Linked DNA regions of Nothobranchius furzeri. The protein of the gene in region 2 interacts with the protein of the main gene of each other region in a pairwise test. Links are inferred from orthologs where the notes say so. Each region holds a gene or a part of one and is shown on either strand. Other genes may lie near its edges.

Region 1 (6,539 bases), on a different chromosome or scaffold from region 2:
TATTGTTGGAGATGAGAACTAAAAAATAAACAGAAGACATGATTCAAAAGAGCTAATTAGCTTAATCAGATTGAATTGAAAGTCTAACTGTTTTTCTATTTTTTGTGTGGGACAAAATATGCATATAAGTAACATTTAAAAAAATTTCAAAAGCAGCATTTATAGTTTTATATTTTGATCAGTTTTGCTGATATTTTTAACATTTTTCAATATTCTTCAGTCAATTCAATCAAATTGTTTTTTCTTAATGATTGTTTTTAAAGTAATATGAAACACACACCAATGATGTTATGATTAAATATTCAATTTTCAATAAATATCTTATGACAATTCACAAATCAGGATGAAAAAGTGTTGATACAATTGCTACACTGTTTGTTGACGTAAAAAGTTGTTTGCTCACCAGATTTTTGTGCACATTTAAGTGTTTGTCTTGAAAATGAGAATTGTTAACTGCTCTGTAATGGTTCACAGCAATCCTGCAATATATTGTAAAGCTGGTTGGAATCATCAACACTATTACCAATTATAATAATGTTGGACAATGTTTAATAAATGATTTTCATGCAGCAAAGTAATGAACAAGTGTTTTTAATACCTTAGATCATTTTCTGACTGTTGCAATTATGCCAGCCAAAATGACTGAGTGCTAAACTAATGACTATGGATATAAATGCATGGGGAAGGGGTGTGTGTTTGCTGGAATATCACAAACTGCAATTACGAGTACATCTTTCTCCTCCCCAGCACTCTTTGTGAACTTTTTGTTTACTTTTAAAGTAATCAGATGAAATCTTCATTTAAAGAGCAAGTCACCCCCTACCAGAGTCTAACTCCACTCCCACTTCATGTTTGAAAAATGCAACAAATACTGTTGCCTGGCAGACCGAGAAGGCGGAGCCACTAACAAATACACACACACACAGGCTCATGACAGCATTGTGACATCATAATGTACCAGTTTACATCATAGCATACCTCTTAGCCAATAGCGATGGCAGATTTAAATTAAAATACAGTGCAGAGTTTTTACCTGACAACGGCACAACACTGCCAGTTTTAGGCAAAATATTTAAATTAGATGAACTGAAGTGCCAAATTATTGACTACATGTGTCTGCAGCATGATTAGACACTCGTTTCTTTTGTTTATCAGCAAAAAAGTTTATTTGGGGGTGACTTGCTCTTTAACTATCTGAATGAAAGGGTGAATGTTAATTAATAGTTTATATTTTAGCAATAGTTTAATAAAATAAAAAAATAATCAGTTGTATATGGGTTTGTTACAGTCAGACACACCTATGCTGTCTAACATTTAAGGTGGTAAAGAATTTGTTCATTTCACCAAATAAATTAACTAAATATTTTATTTAAACTTTATAAAAAATGTCACCTGGCAGACTTTTCAGTAATTTAATCAAAAAGTATTTTAAAATGCCTCAAAATTTGTTAAAATTTAGCTAAATCTTGGGGGGGCGTAACCCGGATGTGGATTTTACGTAAGCCTTTTTGCTTCCGGTGTCACCATCATACGTGACCCCCGGCTGAAAAGAAGAGCGGCTTCTTTCATAACATTAACTCTGGTTTATTTTCCGATACGTAAGTTGCCTCTTGATGATTTTTAAACGTTTCTACATCTGCGTTGCTGCTTTCACACGTAGCCAGATTACTCTACGCCTGCGGTGGTGTGCGCCAGGCTGTTTGAACGTAAGGTCAGCGCTAACTCACGCCGCTAAAATAAGCTAACCACTAGCTTCCACAGAGATGAGTGACTTTCTTTTAGGCCAGCCATTTTCTACAGGCCGCTGAACATCAGATGGATTTGCAATATTATACCGTTTCATCTGAGGAAACCGGATTACACAACCGTTACAGCAACCTAACGGAAAACGCCTGCTCGCGGGAATAATCTGTTAATTCTGTCGCTGCCGTGGCGGACGCGACCGCTACAACAACGTGCAAAAGTTTTAAACCACGTTTAATTTTTTTATATGCAGTCTCCTGTGAGCCAGGCCTCTTTGTGTTATTAAAATGATTGTTTTCCTGTTCCCCAGCTATGTGACGGTTTACTAAGTGTTATTTTAGCTTTTTGGCAGCGTTTTCCAGGCCCTGTACCAGACACGTTGATCAGTTTAAGCTTGAACAAACAGGAATGTTTACAGGTGAGGCACAACAGCAGAGTCAGACCTAAAAATAATACGGTGGAGCTTCTTAAAGTAGTTTTTTGAAGAAAGAAACCTAATTACGTTTTAAGAGGGCCTTAGAGAGATGCATTAATCCATAGGTGATGTCTGGGATTCACCTTGTTGGAGCTAAAGTGTGTGAATGAGAGAGAGAGAGAGACCCTCCGCTCTCGTGACCATCTGTGCAGGTTGATCATCACATTTCTCATGTCTGTACCGGCGTCTCCCATCTGTCCTCCAATCAGGTTCCAGGGTGGCTCCCCCCTCCATGTGTGATCCCTGATGGGCAGCTGGTCTCGCAGTGCCGTGCTGGAGCTGTACAGGGCGCTGCTCCGCGCCGGACGCCACCTTCAGTACACAGACAGGAACTACTACCGCCGGGCCGTGGCTCGGGAGTTCCGGCGCTGCCGGGACCTGAGCGTGCCTGAAGACAAGGAAGAGGCGCTGAAGAGAGGCCAGTTCTTCCTCAGCAGTGGGCTGGGTGGGCTTATGTAGGGGAGGGGGCTCCGTGAGCCGTCTGGAGGTGCGTCACTCAGGTGGGTTCACGCAGAGAAAACACCCCACAGCATGGCGGCTGTTTGGGTCACTTCTGATCTGGTTTTGTCTCGGCCAGCAGAGGGATGGCGGGGGTGAACGGTGACCGTAAAGGAAAAAAAGACGACAACGGCCTCGGGACAGCCATCGACTTCATGCTCTCCAATGCTAAGCTGGTGCTGGGGGTGGGCGGGGCGGCCATGCTCGGCATTGCGACGCTGGCTATGAAACGAGTAAGTGTGAAGATCTCGATCGGCGTGGCGCGTGAAAGCGGTCTGCTTCAGCTCACCTGATTGTTGCTGTACAGATGTATGACCGCGCCATGAGCGCCCCCACCAGCCCCACCAAGATGGAGAAAACTGGGAAGAGGAGCTGGGAGGAGCCTGCCTGGATGGGGTCATCCCCACGAGTACTGAACCACGACATGAAGTTCACGGTCAGCAGGTCCCTCCAGTCGCTGCCCACTTCCTCACATTCCATTGAACCAGGTGAGGCGAGAGCTCGGTTTTTTTATGTCGTAACATTCGTGGTCGTAGGCTTGACTTTCAGCCACGCGTCTTGTTTTAATCTTTCAACAGACGGCCTCCTTGGAGGATTCTTCCTCTTTCTTTACAGTGGGTTGCCTTCTGTCTCCCCGCAGGCCCCAAACTCACCTCTTCTGGTGGTTTAGTGGGATTAGCTGTAGAGGAGTAGAACCGTCATGTCAGAGTAGTGAAATAATCTAGGGTTGTCACGGTATGAAAATTTAACCTCACGGTTATTGTGACCAAAATTATCACGGTTTTCGGTATTATCGCGGTATTTTTTAAACGGTGTTGCATATGTTCAGAAAGCATTGATAGTCCTGTTCTACACAAACTGAAATAGTTCTGAAAAGGTTTAACAGTGTTTATTAAACCTAAAATAACACAAAGCCTTAGCAAAAGTGCAACTTTTCACAAGTAAAGGAACAAATAGCTTATTTTTCTGGAACATGTTACAGTAGTCAGTGCAGGTTTAAATGATACAAATCCAAACATTCAAAACATAAACAATATGTAAACAAATCAAAGAAACACCACTTGTTTTCTCATATACTTGTTTTCTTCATTATCAAAATGAAAATCTAAAACTCCAGTCCACACTTGACTTGAGCACTGTACAAGTCAACCTTAAAAAAATATGTATTTAAAACAAATAGCCACTTTAAACAAATTACTAAAATAACTACTACACTATGTAATCAAATCCAAATGTTCAAGTATAAATGGCATTGAATAAGTAAACAAATCAATGACAAGGAACTAATTGTATATTTCTCTTCATCATCAACAAATAAGATGCTTCATCCAGCAACAGGGTGTCCGTGACACGGTTTAAATGCTGGCAGAGGACGCTGCGGCTGCAGTATATAGTGACTCGTTGCATTCTCCGTCAACCAAAAGTCCTCGCGTCATGCATTTCAGCTAAAATGCTAATGTTAACTTACCTTGCACTGGCTGTAGAGACGTGGGTGATCGTCACGCAGATGTGCCATTAGATTCGAAGTGTTGCTGCCTTTTGCAGACACTTGTTTCCTGCACGTTCTGCAAACGGGATAGCAGTCTTCTATTAACTGTCCCTCAGCATTTTTCAGAAATCCCAAATATGCCCATACTTCCGATTTAGTCTTCTTTGGGGGCTGATGGATGTCCTGGGCGCTGCCGTCTCCTCCTTCGGCCATTATTTCAGCTTCAAAGTTTTGGTGCCGTTGCAAATTAAAAAGTGCGTGTGCGCGCCGCGGGAACTTCAGCTGAAGCGACGGTGGCTGGTAAGGGTCATCGCGCCGAAACCGCGGCCACGGTAAACCCACCGAGATAATATAGTTTTTTAAAAACTGGACGGTTATTTTTATTGTCAACTTTTTTACCGGGGTTTACCGCTATACCGGTTACCGTGACAACCCTAAAATAATCTCCTTCCTCCTCCTCAAACGTTATTTTCTTCTACAGGAGTTGTTTAAACTTGTCTTTTTCACACATGTTCAGATGGTCTGAGGAGAGCTGTGGGTCGCTCTGCCGCGGGACGAGGCGGCTCCGCCCAGTCCGACCTGCTGCGGGCTCGGATGCGTCTCTCCCTGCAGGAACGCCTGTGGGACTTCTACCGGAACTGGGTCAACATCTCTGCCGAGGAGCAGGCTCTGGCCAGGAAGGCGGCTCTGGACATCTGCGCCGAGCTCAGGGTGTTTCTTCACGCCAAACTCCCGGACATGCCGCTGCGGGAGATGTACCTGAGTGGAAGTCTGTACGACGACCTGCAGGTGAGCAGCTTTAGCTCATTATCGTTTGGAGTGACACACAATCGCAGATCGGTTCTGAGTCTGATCTCCTCACAGGTGGTGACGGCGGACCACGCCCAGCTGATGGTGCCTCTGGTCCTGGAGAAGAACCTGTGGTCGTCCATTCCCGGGGAGGACACCATCATGAACGTTCCTGGGTTCTGGCTCGTCCGCAGGGAGAACCTGGAATATTTCCCAAGGAACAGCAGCTACTGGGACCGCTGCATGGTGGGGGGTTACCTCTCCCCTAAATCGCTCCTTGAGGTTTTCGACAAGCTGGTCTCCGGCTCCATCAACTGGCCGGCCATCGGGAGCGTCCTGGATTACATCATCCGTCCCGTGGTTCCCTCTGAGACCCTGACCCTTGAGGTCCAGTATGAGGCAAACCGGAGGCTTTATGTGGACTTCCTGCCTTTGCTCGTGATGGAAGACGGAACGTCGCTCATCGCCAAACCGCACCGGCTCGCTGCGGAGCGCCACGAGAACCTGTGGCGGCAGAGCTTCCGCGTGGGTGAGACGGCGCGCCTCAGGGCACTGGATCAGGAGGACGGCGGCTGCCGGTGCACCTGCCTGAAGGTGGCCAAGGCCGTATGCAAGCTGGACCCCGCCCTGAACCGACTCAACTCCAGCCAGCTCACCAACGCCATCCTGCTGCTGAGCCAAAAGGAAGGAGACTGGACGCAGGACGCGCTGGCTGACCGCTTCCTGCAGCTGCTGCGAGCTCTGGTGGAACACCTGGAGGCCGGGAGGCTGCCCTGCGCCCTCGCTCCTAAAGTCAATCTGTTCTGCGAGCTGACCGAACAGGAAGTGGACGAACTGGGCTACACGCTCTACTGCGCCCTCTCAGATCCCGAAGGGCTTCTCAGAACCGCAGAACCACACCTCCCCTAACAGGAAACCGGCGCTGAGACGGAAGCGTCGGGTTAAACATTCATCAGAAACAAAAACGCTGCATGAGACGGGTCTCGTGTCGGGCCGGTCTGACTCTTCACATCACAGCTGTTCGTATCCAAACATCTCAGAGGAGAGCGGAGGGACTTCTCAGAGCCGTTGCATTAAACCGGACTGAGCATGCTCAGTGGAGGGCAAACCAAGGCTTCAGAGCATTTTAGTAACAAGTGTTCCAACGGGTTTGTGTCGCAGCACCAACAGACCAAAACGTGTGTGTGTGTGTGTGTGTGTGTGCCAACAGTACCGAGCTCTGGACCGGACTCATAATCCGGGTGGGTCTGCTTCCCCTCCGCCATCCTTAAAGTTCTCCACTTCTAAATCGAGTTTCGTTCATATTCTGGTCTCTTGGATCGCGTGTGGGAGACGTGGCGTGTTTCAGGTAGCTGCAGTTGCGCGAGTCACCGTCATGAGTAAAAAATAGAATGAAATATAGAACAAAAGATGGACGACGGGAAACAATTTTAAAAGAATAAAATGTGGATAATTGAAACCCCAGCCAATGAGTAGCCTGACTTAGCCGTGGGGGTCATGTGACGTCACACACAGAGGCTCTGTTATAAACTGGAGGTTTGTGGT
Region 2 (5,303 bases):
GCCCTCACACTCACTGGTGGTAACAGTTGTTACATCCCTCCTCCCTTTGTTTTGAAAAGAGAGACAATGGCAATCCCCTCAACCTGCTTGATATGAAATATGTTTCAGTAGAAATTTCCTTCCAAAATGACTGAAATATTCAATTATTTTGGGATTTTCTCACAGTAAAATTCTCACTTTATTCTTACATACTGCACCTTTAAAACCTCTGTTGCTTTAACATAAGCTGCAAGCTAAAATGGTATGGCTTCTGAACGAATAAATATTGCAGCTGCGTTAATAAAACCTCTATTTGTGCTTTCTTAAGAGCCCATAAGGCAGCAAAACTCACAGACAAGATTGGTGAGTTTCTAACCCCCTAATGACAGTAAAAATAGTCAGTGGCTAAAACCTTTAGGGGATTTTCATGATCTGTGTGCACAAAATCACCTAATCCTCAGAGGAATACTTGCTTTTCCTTGTCCTTAAATAAATATAAAATGACACTTTTCATACTTTCAGTGTTGGAGGGAGCGGAAAATAAATAAATTCTCATTATTCCCTTTACTAATTTTGACATTTCTGTGCCAAGTTGTGTGTTGCAGTGTGTGGTTTGTGCAGAAAGTACGAGTTTAGTTAACAGACAAAAGCTGGTTGATGTGATGTAATTCTGGAGTGTGAAAAATGTTTCACACAAGGAAGCTGGGACATAAATGTGTCATCTTGCACGGACAGGATGGTCTTTACAGCTCTGACAGGCTGCACATGAAGACGTAACCAACGCAACTGTATATTTCATATTTCTTTATTCTAAGAGATTTCATGAAATATTAAATGCAAACTAAGCAGGAAACAGTCTCATGTTGGAAAATTAAAGGAGGTGTACCAAATGTATTCATTTAATGCAGAATATTTAGTGGAGCTGAACAGTTTTGACAATATCAAAAGAAGATATTCAGGTGAAATGTCTCTGTAGCAAAATGCATAAAACAACCCATCAGAAGGTGGCTCCTGTTGACAGAAAAACATTTTATAGGCTTTTATTCAACAGAGCAAAACTAGAGCTGCATATTTGGGTAAAAGGAAGTTATGACATCACAGGTCATTTCAGCACAGTAACCACATCCAACGCACAGATTACAAGGTTTTCCAAGAGAGAACTTTGAACTACATAAAAAAATAAAATGCATGACAAAAACATCTTAATGATGCAACGGGCCAGTAATGACAGCAGCAACAGGGTCTCTATCTTTATTGTGCAGCACTGCTGTGCAATTTGCACCCTGAAAGTGCAACCTTCAAGGAATGCTTTTGGAATGATGTGAGAAACTGCACATTTGTTTCAACTCATATTTAGTTCATGACACCTTTAACATTTCTGATTAAATTAGTTAAAACTAAACACGTGTAGCATAGTGTGTGACCTGTGTTCATTAAAACAGTGACTTCACACACACAGAGTGTTTATGCTGACGAGTCTAAGAGCAGAAAGTTTGTTTCTTCGCACGATAGATTGAGCTCATCATTGGGGTCATTATGCAAAGAACGGACATTTTTTTGTCTGATGGCAGTAGAATAAATAGTTGTTTATCAGATAGTAAACTTTAGGATAAATAAATTGCAGGTGAATCTGCCAAAAGCTGCTTCCTCTTAAAGAATGCCCCCTAAATGCTTTAGCTGTTCAAATCATCTGGGGGATTTCATAACATTTCCCAGTCTGTCCAATGCTTCCAACCATTCTGCCCAGTAAAGTCCTGAATACAAACTCATCCTAATTTTGAGCTAAACATGGAGTCAGTTGTTTGTAAGTGCCACATTAGTAAAAAACTAACGAAACAAAGAGCACGAGACTTTCGTCGTACTGTGTGTTCAGGAGTCCCTCTTCCAACGCAAGAGCAACTCAGCTCATAAACACACTATGAGACCCAAACAGATGTTTATTCAGCAAAATTTTAAGTTTTGATTTGACTTTTGATCTCACAGGTGCATCATGTGTTGCAATGTGAATCCATGAGGACAGGACAGCTTTGGTAAAGTCCTGCTCGACTCAGTAAGCGCGGACTCCTGGTTTGCTGTCCTGGGCCTGGTTGAAGGGGTTCGCTGGACTCGAGGACTCGTCCGGCTGGTCGATAGACTGATAGGCATCTCTGTTTCGTGATACAGTAGGAAACCCTGCAGAGACACGCCAAAAACATTCAAATCTTGTCTGAGGACATTTTTCATTCACATCCGATCACGTTGGCCTTGGCGCCACAGCAACTCTATTGGGAGCCTAAATCACGCCCTTCCACTTCTGGTCCAGGGGTCTATACGGTCATAAAACATGAATGAGTCGATGGAGCAATAAGTTATTTTCTGATCCCGTCTGATGAGCGCCATGGATTTCACACATGACGGCTGTGAATTTTAAGACACATTTTGATGCCAAGAGCGTGCTTTTTTCGACAGGCAGCTAAAGGTACTTTAGGTTTTGTGGGAAGTAAAAGACTCCAGCTGAGGAGAAACGTGGCTGTGAGAGCAACAAGCTTTGCATCTTGTTTCCAGGACTAAAGGAGCATTCAAAGATTCATTTAAATAGATTAGTGACACGGTTGGAATGATTCAGGACCTCGACTCACGATGCTTGCTTCTGATGTTGTTGGGAACTTTCAGAAGATCTCAAATTAATATTAAAAAAAAACCAGTTGGGTTTAGAAGTTACAAACTTTACAATGGATCCTGGAACAGAGTTGGACTTTATGTGAGGCTTTGCAGCAAACAGCATCAACTCTGCAAGGTCAGAATATTAATGGCATTTTTGTGGAAGTCCAAACCGTCGCATCCCTTCTCCGCTCACAGCTCTGTGACAAACCTGCAGTTTTGCACTCTCATCAAATAAAGAACGTTGGATTTGTGGCACATGAAGTTAACCATCATAAGGTTGTGGTATCCTTTCTAAATGTAACAAATATGAATAAAAACAGTTATTAGCTTCACGTGTAAGGATAAAGGCTTGTTTTATAAGTCAACTGGGCTCACTTTAAAGTGAGCGCCATCACAGATCTTGAAAACCAACAATAAAAAAATATAAAAAACATCCCAGAATACTCCTAACAAATGAGGTGCCTGGAGACTAAAAATCTGAATAAAATATTCAGTACATGCAAAATAAAAGAGTAAAAGACACTTTACAGGGAAAACGAATGGAACAGTAATGTGGGCTGCTGATGATGGAAACAGGCCAGCTGGTCGCACAGAAATACATCATTTTACATGCAAGCCAACAGCTGAATAAACATGTAAAAAGGGTTAAGAAGAGCCAGGCTGGTGAAAGTCAACAAAACTCTAAAAAGGACAAGCGTAAATGGGATTTCACCCGAAAAGCTTCTGAATCTCCGTTTCCTGGTGCCGGACGTGTGAAACCACTATTCCACTGTTGAATTAATATCAAATAGGCCAAAGCATGTTGAATTTCTCTGAGATCAGGCTGGAAACGGTGAAAGTAAAAAAGTTCATGTAAATTACAAAGAGATGAACAAAATGATGGAACCCAGTAAAAAGCAAAACACAGAGAAAGTCTCTTTCTTTCTGATCAGACGTCTTACTTCCCGGGGATGGGGTGATTTGGAAAGAAGGGAAAAAGGAAGAAGCCAGGAATCAGTAACGACGGCCGTAATAGGCACTGTCAGCACTGTCCGTAGTGCACCGACTGTCCACAGAGGTCTCTAAGTCTGAGGAAAACAGAGATCAGCAGTGAAGAAGAAAAAGATCAAAATAAGACACAAAAACTAAAGATTGCACACAAAGAATGAATGGAACATGTGCAAGAGAACTTTCTACGGCATGCAGGAAAAGAAACAGGAATATTCTGACAAATACGGTTTACTCATCAGTGATAAAATTGTTACACACACAAGCCATGATTGTTTTTATCAATCCATCTATTTTCATCTGCTTATCTGGAGTCGGGTCGCGGAGGCAGTAGCCTAAGTCAAGAGACCCAGACTTCCCTCTCCCCAGCCACTTGGGCCAGCTCCTCCGGGGGAATCCCAAGGCATTCCCTGGCCAGGTGAGAGACATAGTCCCTCCAACCTGTCCTGGGTCTACCTTTAGGCCTCCTCCCGGTTTGACATGCCCAGAAAACCTCACAAGGGAGGTGTCCAGGAGACATCCTGACCACATGCCCGAGCCACCTCAACTGGCTCCTCTCGATGTGGAGGAGCAGCGGGTCTACTCCGAGCCCCTCCGGGATGACTGACCAATGAATGCCGGACCATGTCTAATGCTGCCGCTCGTCGTTTTCACAGATAATAATGTGGTTGAAGCAGAGTCAGCCCTGTTAGTTTAGCAGCAAATCATTTTAAAGGCTTTCTGAAAACAAGAACATTGAGTTAACTTGAGTTAAAAGCGTCATGGACAGGTTTTACTAACCTTTGTCTTGACAAGAAAATTTCAGCTAGATTCTAAATTTCAGTCCTGTAGAAGAGGAGGGAGGGGAGGCGATTATTTAGTGTGTATTGGAGCTAAGTGATTAGCGTAGCATTCAATCTCACGCTATCAGACTGTTTTTGCTTGTTGCAGCATTAGCAAGGGTGTGCTAGCATTGGAAGAGCCAGATTCCTGCACGTTTTAGAGGTTTCCCTGCTGAACACCACATATGTTTAAACTGAGTGATTAGCTGCTGCAACCAGATGAAGGCTGAATTCAGCAGTTAGAATTAGGTTTGTCTGAGCAGGAGCATATCAAAGACATTACTTAGTGCTAGCGTTCACACTACAGAGCTTTGTGAGGCATGGCTCTCAGCCGTTCAAATTTCTAAATCTTTTCCTTCTCACCACGATGACGTCATGCTATGCACCCCAGCTTTCATAATCCCGATTTGTTTAGTGATAGTCGACTTGAACTAGCTGTTGCTTGTACCTGACTGTGCTCAGCAGTGCAACGCCAGCAAAGCAATCTAGCTGCAATTAAAACCCAAACGCTGTCTGAGAGGATCATTAGCTGCTTTCATCTGACATAACTCAGTCTAATGGGTGTTCCTGCTGTGCAAAGTAAACCATAAAGAAACTAGATTCATCAATATTCAATTATCCTCTGTGCAGTCGACAAATGGGTTTCATCAAGGTTTCGCATCTCACCACTAACATCCTTTTGTCTTCTAGCGCTTTTTTTTTCTTTCATTTTGATCCATTCTTTGTGAAGTTGATATCCAAATGTGCTCATCACATTAATTCAATGACATCAGGTAACAAATCAAAGAATGATCATTTTAAGCCTCCAGGTCATTAGAATTTCAAAGATCTGCGATGTTAGATCCATAAGTGGATGTCTGCAACATAAATGAG
Region 3 (6,156 bases), on a different chromosome or scaffold from region 2:
AAAATAAATAATTTAAATGGGTATACATTTGTTTTTTTGTTAAGTTGCCTAATAATTATGTACAGTAATAGTCACCTGCACACACAGATATCCCCCTAAAATAGCTAAAACTAAAAACAAATTAAAAACTACTTCCAAAAACATTCAGCTTTGACATTAATGAGTTGTTTGGGTTCATTGAGAACATGGTTGTTGTTCAATAATAAAATTATTCCCCAAAAATACAACTTGCCTAATAATTCTGCACTCCCTGTAAACTGCAAATAACTACATAAAACGAACAGTCCGCTACTCTTGTGTTTTTCATATTTAATTTTAAGTGGAACCAATTTTCTTCATTTCTGACAGGATCCTCTCCTCTGTCCTGACTGCATTTACAACCTCTGCAACTTGTTTGGTTCTATTCTACTTCAGCAGCCAGTGCCGCGATCTTGCTTCCAATAATTTGATTTACAGGGATTCCCCTGGTGAGCTGAGGATGTGCCGTGACCAAATATTGTTAATTAAGGGCGTTTCTGCATGTAAACGACTGAACGGGCACCTGGGAACACACAGGTGGGATCTATCAACAGTTGATTGTGGAGGAAGGTGTGCATGAGTGGTTTGATGAATCAGGATTTTGGATTTTCGTAGGAACATTCTAAATGTCCTTCAGGAATATAGGAGAGTTTCTATGAATGAGGGCCCAGGTGACCTGACCTCTCATCCTGAAGCTTCTGCTGCAAAACAAGCCGTGGAGAAACTTTTACCTTTTCCTGCCGTTTCTCAAAAGATGATTTTAATTCGGATTTTTCTGAACTTGAAGCTTTTCCTCCAAAAATCTCCTCCATGTCCTCCCCCTCACTGCTCTCTTCTCCAGAGAGGTCAAAGGTCACCTTCTTGTGAGCTGCTTTGGAGCGACTTTCTTGCTCATCCCTGAGGAAAACATTTTTTTAATGAGTTGGAATTCACAGAACAAGCTTCCCCCCTCACCACAGCACAAATTAGACCCAGATCGACTCACTCATCGTTGTCCTCTTCATCACGATAATCACCATCTTCTTCTTCTTCCAACTCTTCTTCATCCTCTTCCTCACTCGCATCATCATCTCCATCTGACTGGTCATCAGTCTTAGCTGGTTTGCCCCCCACAGCACCAAAAAAGTCCTTGTACCTGAGATCTCTGGAGCTTTTTACCTGCTGTTAGAAAATAAACATTTATTTGTCTCTTCCATATGATCAGAGCCCAAAGTGATGAGTGATAAAATCATACCGCGTGTTTCTTCGGCTTTTTTGAGGACAGTATTTCACCGAGGTCAAAATCGTCATCCTCATCCGAGTGCAGGTCTTGGAAGTAGTCAACATTGTTGTCGCCATCCTCCTCTCTTCCTTCTCGCTTGTCCATTTCATCAAGAAATGACTCCATTTCTGACAGTTTGAAGAACTTATCGTCAACTTCTGAGGGAACCAGTTTTGTTTTGGAGCCTGCCCGTGCACTCGCTTTCTTCTTCTCTCGTTTCTCCAGAGCATCCACATCAAAATCTATATCCGAGTCATCTTCTGAGCCCTGCTCTGACCCTTCTTCAGCTTCCACAGCCTTTTTCTTTTGCATTCTAGGAGGAATTTTAATTACATTTTCATCATTATTCATTTCTTCTTCGCCTTCATCACCACTTTTTTCATCTTCTACCACCTCTTCCTCTGGCAGCAAAGTTAATGCCTCATCTGACAATGCTCCTTCAATAGATTTAGTGAAATATGTCAGCACAGCTTCATTCTGGAGCTCTAGCTCCTGCCAAATCTGCTCCTCGTCAAAGTTGTCCACAATGAGCTGAGCCAGCGGGCTGCCTTTACAATCTGAAGGCTCCTGGGATTTGTGGAGGTCATACAGGGTCTTCGTGAGGGAGGTAAATTCTGCTGCAGCACCATCTTGAAGGCTGAAAAGTAGAAAAACAATCAGTGAGACAAACGTGTTGCAGGGAAAGAGGTTCTTTTGAAAATGACCACTGGTTTGAACTCAGCGCAGCTTTCATCTGTGACAGCCAACTATCATACAACATCCATGCTGTTTACCAAAACTCATGATGGTGAAAATGGTTAGAAATTAATCATCAAAGCAAAATTAAATAAGGAAAAAAGGACAAAATCTTGGATATCATGCAAACAACCTTTGTCTGTAAATCATAGTTTTAAATGTTTTAGTTATATTGTATGGCAACATAAGCATTTAGGTCCTTAAACGAGAACAGACACATCCAGATCAAATTAGACCATAAGACTATGTGATCATTTTGAGGCACCACTGTCCAGTTACTTCAGATAATCTAGCAGGTTAATGTTATTTCACGGATGGATTAACCTCTCGTCTCACAATATCTCGAGTTTTATTATTATTAGCTTGCTGTACTGTTGGTGTCACTCAGCTACAGCCTTTAGTCAGAGACAGATCATAAAACCAAATAAATCCTAATTTTCGATATTAGCTGTCACCGATTGTGTCAAATCTAATAAAATGACATTTTCTTTCATTTAATTTAATAAAAAAAGTGACTCTAAATCTGAAAGAAAGCCGTTCTCAACTATTTTATTTAAATAAGTTTAACCTAACAGCTCTCTAAAGTATTTGCTAGCATTAGCATTTAGCTTTAGCCGATGATTGGTCAAGTAAATATCTCGTTTAAAAGAATAAAACTTTAGTAAAATAATGCAGAACACTCGCCTTAGAAAGTTTTCTGGTTGTGCCGTGTTAACATTTATCGTTTTGACACAATCCTCCAGTACGGCCCACATTTCTGCACCCGCCATGTTTTCCTACACATGTGTAGCCGAAAGTGTTGCAGGTAAACAGGCCCGACCAGAAACGCGTCCGCCGCTACAGATTGGTTCCTACGTAAAAACAAAATAATAATGAAAATGGCGACGTCGCTGCTGAAGGTTGCAGGTTTGTTTATATCGATAAAAGCTAACTGCTACAGTCAGGCTTCTCTCCGGTGCATTCTGCCTTGACAAATAAGAGTGTATAGTTGCCGATAGTTGCTCTCCAAATCGTCTCTCTCGACTTAAGCGCAACTCGCGATGTGTTGTGTTTACTTTCTTTTTGCGTTTTCAGGTTAAAAATGAGAAGATACAGTCAAAACTAAATGTTTTTATGAATACATTTCTATAAATATTACATTTCTATAAATATTGTCTGTCTTTCTATCGTAGTGAGTACCCTCAGTGACTTCCATTCATTTATGTGACTCCACTATGCCTAACTCATACCCATACCCTAACCATAACCAATGCTGATCTGTTCCTAACCCTAACCTTAACCAAAACTTAATTCACACCAGACCTCAAAAACCAACTGGTAAGCTTAAAAAAAACGAGGACCAAAACATGTCCTCAATTTGTGGGGAAAATGGTCAAAATGGTCCTCAGTATGTACACACACACACACACACACACACACACACACACATACAAGTATCTCAAATTAAAATATCTTAAATTATAAATTGTTTCCTGAATCATGTATGTGACACAGTTTAGTACATTTTTTAAATAAATTCACGTCTGTGGTACAAAAACATTCACCAAAACCGTACGTTTCATATCCCTGGTGCTTCCTGGATTTAAGGAGTTTTGTGTAAATATTAAACATTAAAATGTATCCGGAATATATCCATTTAAAGAAGTGATAGTGGTTTATTCAGTATCTAATGCTGTTTATCTAAACAGCTCAGCTCTTAATTATTTTTACATTATTTTTATTTTATTGTGTTTATTCAGTGGCAGGAATTTCCAGATGTTCTGGCGTTTCCCTCCTGAGGTCACATTCGACGACAGCGCCACTTCCTGGGTCTCTGTGGAAATTGGGGAAGCTGAACCATGTAGCCATTGCCGTCCCTGACATGGAGAAGGCCACGGCCTTGTATCGCGATGTGCTCGGAGCCACGGTGAGCGAAAAGGTGCCTTTGCCTGAGCACGGTGTCTACACGGTGTTCGTGGAGCTGGGCAACACCAAGCTGGAGCTGCTCCATCCTCTGGGGGAGAAGAGCCCCATCTCTGGTTTCTTACAGAAGAACAAGTCCGGAGGGATGCACCATGTCTGTATCGAGGTGAGAGACATCGACGGCGTGAGTCAGAAGACGCAACACATATTTACCCCGCTAATAACATACTGATTTATGCAACTATAATTAAACCACTGACATCTTTCCTGTCACATCAGGAGCAAAACAGTCTGCAGCACGGATACACCTTAGTGGACTAGTCCATAATAGTTCATAAAGGGTTTGTGTGTAATTTTGTGAAATTAAAAGAGGTTAATGACGGGTGATTTTGTGTTGACGCTGTACTTTTCCCACTCAGAGGTTCAATAGGGTAGTAACCCAGTGATTCTAGTTAGATTAATGATTAACTACGTTTTCCGCCTGTTTGCAGGTAGATGACATTAATGCTGCAGTGGCCGATCTGAAAGCAAAGAACATCAGAACTTTGTCAGCGGAGCCGCGAATAGGCGCTCACGGGAAGCCGGTCATGTTTCTCCATCCTAAAGACTGTGACGGGGTGCTGGTGGAGTTAGAAGAAGCGTGAACGTCGGGGACCGAAGACGCCTTCGTGTCCATTTACTCCATCATTACTTAGATGATTGCAGGGATGCGAGTGCTGATTGCTGGTTGTGATGTTCCTGTTTTGTTCTGGCTTAGGTCTAGTGTGATGTGTGACCATTTCTATAAAAGCTCTTGCAAAGCATTGCTTAGGGATTCTTTCGTGGGTGTGTGCTTGCTTTATTGTCTCTTCATTGTCCAGCAACAATCTAGTAACATGGTTTCACACAACAGCATGTTTTACAGCTCATATTTCAAATACGGATAAACAGTACCTTGCACATGTTCCAAGGCATCTTTTATTTATATCGAACACTTCATACAGAGAAGCAATTCAAAATGTTTTCCAGGAGCAAGAACATAAAACAGCAGATTTTAAAATGTAATTTAAAGAGCAAGTCACCCCCAAATCAACTTTTTTTCTGATAAACTATATAAATGTGTGTCTAATCGTGCTGCAGACACGTGTAGTCAATAGTTTTGCACTTAACTGCATTTTAGTTAATATTTAAATTTTCTGCCTAAAACTCAGTGTTGTGCCGATGTCAGGTAAAAACTCTGCACTGCATTTGAAATTAAATTTGCCATCGCTATTGGCTTGGGCACATGGCGCGCGCACACACACACACACACACACACACACTGATGTGCTGTAAAAGAAAAACAAGTTGTAGAATGCTTCATGTTTAATCTATTCCGGAACAATAAGGATAAGAAAACAATTTCAAATGCAGCCCAAAAGCTTGTTAATATTTACCTCATTCTGTTTTATTTGTGACAGATTGAAAAATGTGAGTTTTTTTCTGGTTAGGGTTGACATCAGGGTTCTGATGTGAAAGTCTAAGCTGTAGACTAAGCTACAAAGGAAGCCTGATCTCTTCTGCGCTTTAATATGCCTCTTCGTACATCAGGAACATTTTCTCACCTGGCCTCAGTAACTGATGCAGAATAAAATACCAAAGTACATTTAAAGGCTTAAAACAATCAAGATGTCATAAACAAAGGAGGAACCTTGTATACAGAGGCTAAGGCTGTGATCCCGGGTTGTGCTGCAGCATTTTTGAAGGTGTTGACAAAAACAGATCCTAGACTGGTGCCGTAGCCACGTAGAAACAAAAGCCTGTTTATTCACCAGGAGGAATGATTTTAGTGGGTAGAAATTCATCTTTGATATCAGCATTTTCTTTTCTTTGCTCAAAAGAAAGCACATTATGGTGGAACGGTTGTGGTCTTTCTGCAGGGTTGGCATGTTCTCCCCAGGGTGCTCTGGCTTCCTCCCACAGACCAAAACATGCATGTTAGGTTAATGGAGACTCGACATTGTCCCGAAGAAGATATTTATTTCTAGAAAACTTTTCACAGATAAAATCACAAAGTGCTTCACAAAAACGGTAAAAATATAAAAGTGATACATTAAAAACTAATTCTAATAAAAGGTAAAAGAGACGGGGGATGCTTGTCTGAAAAGAAGCTTTTTCAGCTGCATCCTAAATGAACAATTAGTCAGCAAGGCTTTCCACAGTTTTGGGGCCACGGCCTCAAATGCCATGTCTCAGGTTCTAAAGCGGGTCGTAGGGACCAT

The links. The genes of interacting proteins can lie anywhere in the genome.
Region 1: the proteins of agtrap (region 2) and mief1 interact in binary tests that used the Homo sapiens proteins (3 or more experiments, as listed by UniProt). The two-hybrid records come from large-scale screens. The link is inferred for Nothobranchius furzeri from reciprocal best matches to the Homo sapiens genes AGTRAP and MIEF1.
Region 3: the proteins of agtrap (region 2) and mcee interact in binary tests that used the Homo sapiens proteins (3 or more experiments, as listed by UniProt). The two-hybrid records come from large-scale screens. The link is inferred for Nothobranchius furzeri from reciprocal best matches to the Homo sapiens genes AGTRAP and MCEE.

What each region holds. Positions count from the first base shown.
Region 1 is NC_091752.1:65,048,766-65,055,304, reverse strand, and holds mief1 (mitochondrial dynamics protein MID51), read left to right. Parts: upstream 1-2,802; coding exon 2,803-2,949; intron 2,950-3,023; coding exon 3,024-3,204; intron 3,205-4,722; coding exon 4,723-4,994; intron 4,995-5,069; coding exon 5,070-5,903; 3' UTR 5,904-6,201; downstream 6,202-6,539. Other genes in the region: mitochondrial ribosome and complex I assembly factor AltMIEF1, read left to right, coding at 2,465-2,677. UniProt on the Homo sapiens protein: Mitochondrial outer membrane protein which regulates mitochondrial fission/fusion dynamics.
Region 2 is NC_091743.1:75,226,764-75,232,066, reverse strand, and holds the end of agtrap (type-1 angiotensin II receptor-associated protein), read right to left. Parts: intron 2,152-5,303; coding exon 2,027-2,151; 3' UTR 1,905-2,026; downstream 1-1,904. UniProt on the Homo sapiens protein: Appears to be a negative regulator of type-1 angiotensin II receptor-mediated signaling by regulating receptor internalization as well as mechanism of receptor desensitization such as phosphorylation.
Region 3 is NC_091749.1:64,483,434-64,489,589, reverse strand, and holds mcee (methylmalonyl-CoA epimerase, mitochondrial), read left to right. Parts: upstream 1-2,815; 5' UTR 2,816-2,886; coding exon 2,887-2,920; intron 2,921-3,753; coding exon 3,754-4,082; intron 4,083-4,407; coding exon 4,408-4,560; 3' UTR 4,561-4,719; downstream 4,720-6,156. Other genes in the region: mphosph10 (U3 small nucleolar ribonucleoprotein protein MPP10), read right to left, coding at 750-915, 1,004-1,179, 1,253-1,916, 2,699-2,784. UniProt on the Homo sapiens protein: Methylmalonyl-CoA epimerase involved in propionyl-CoA metabolism.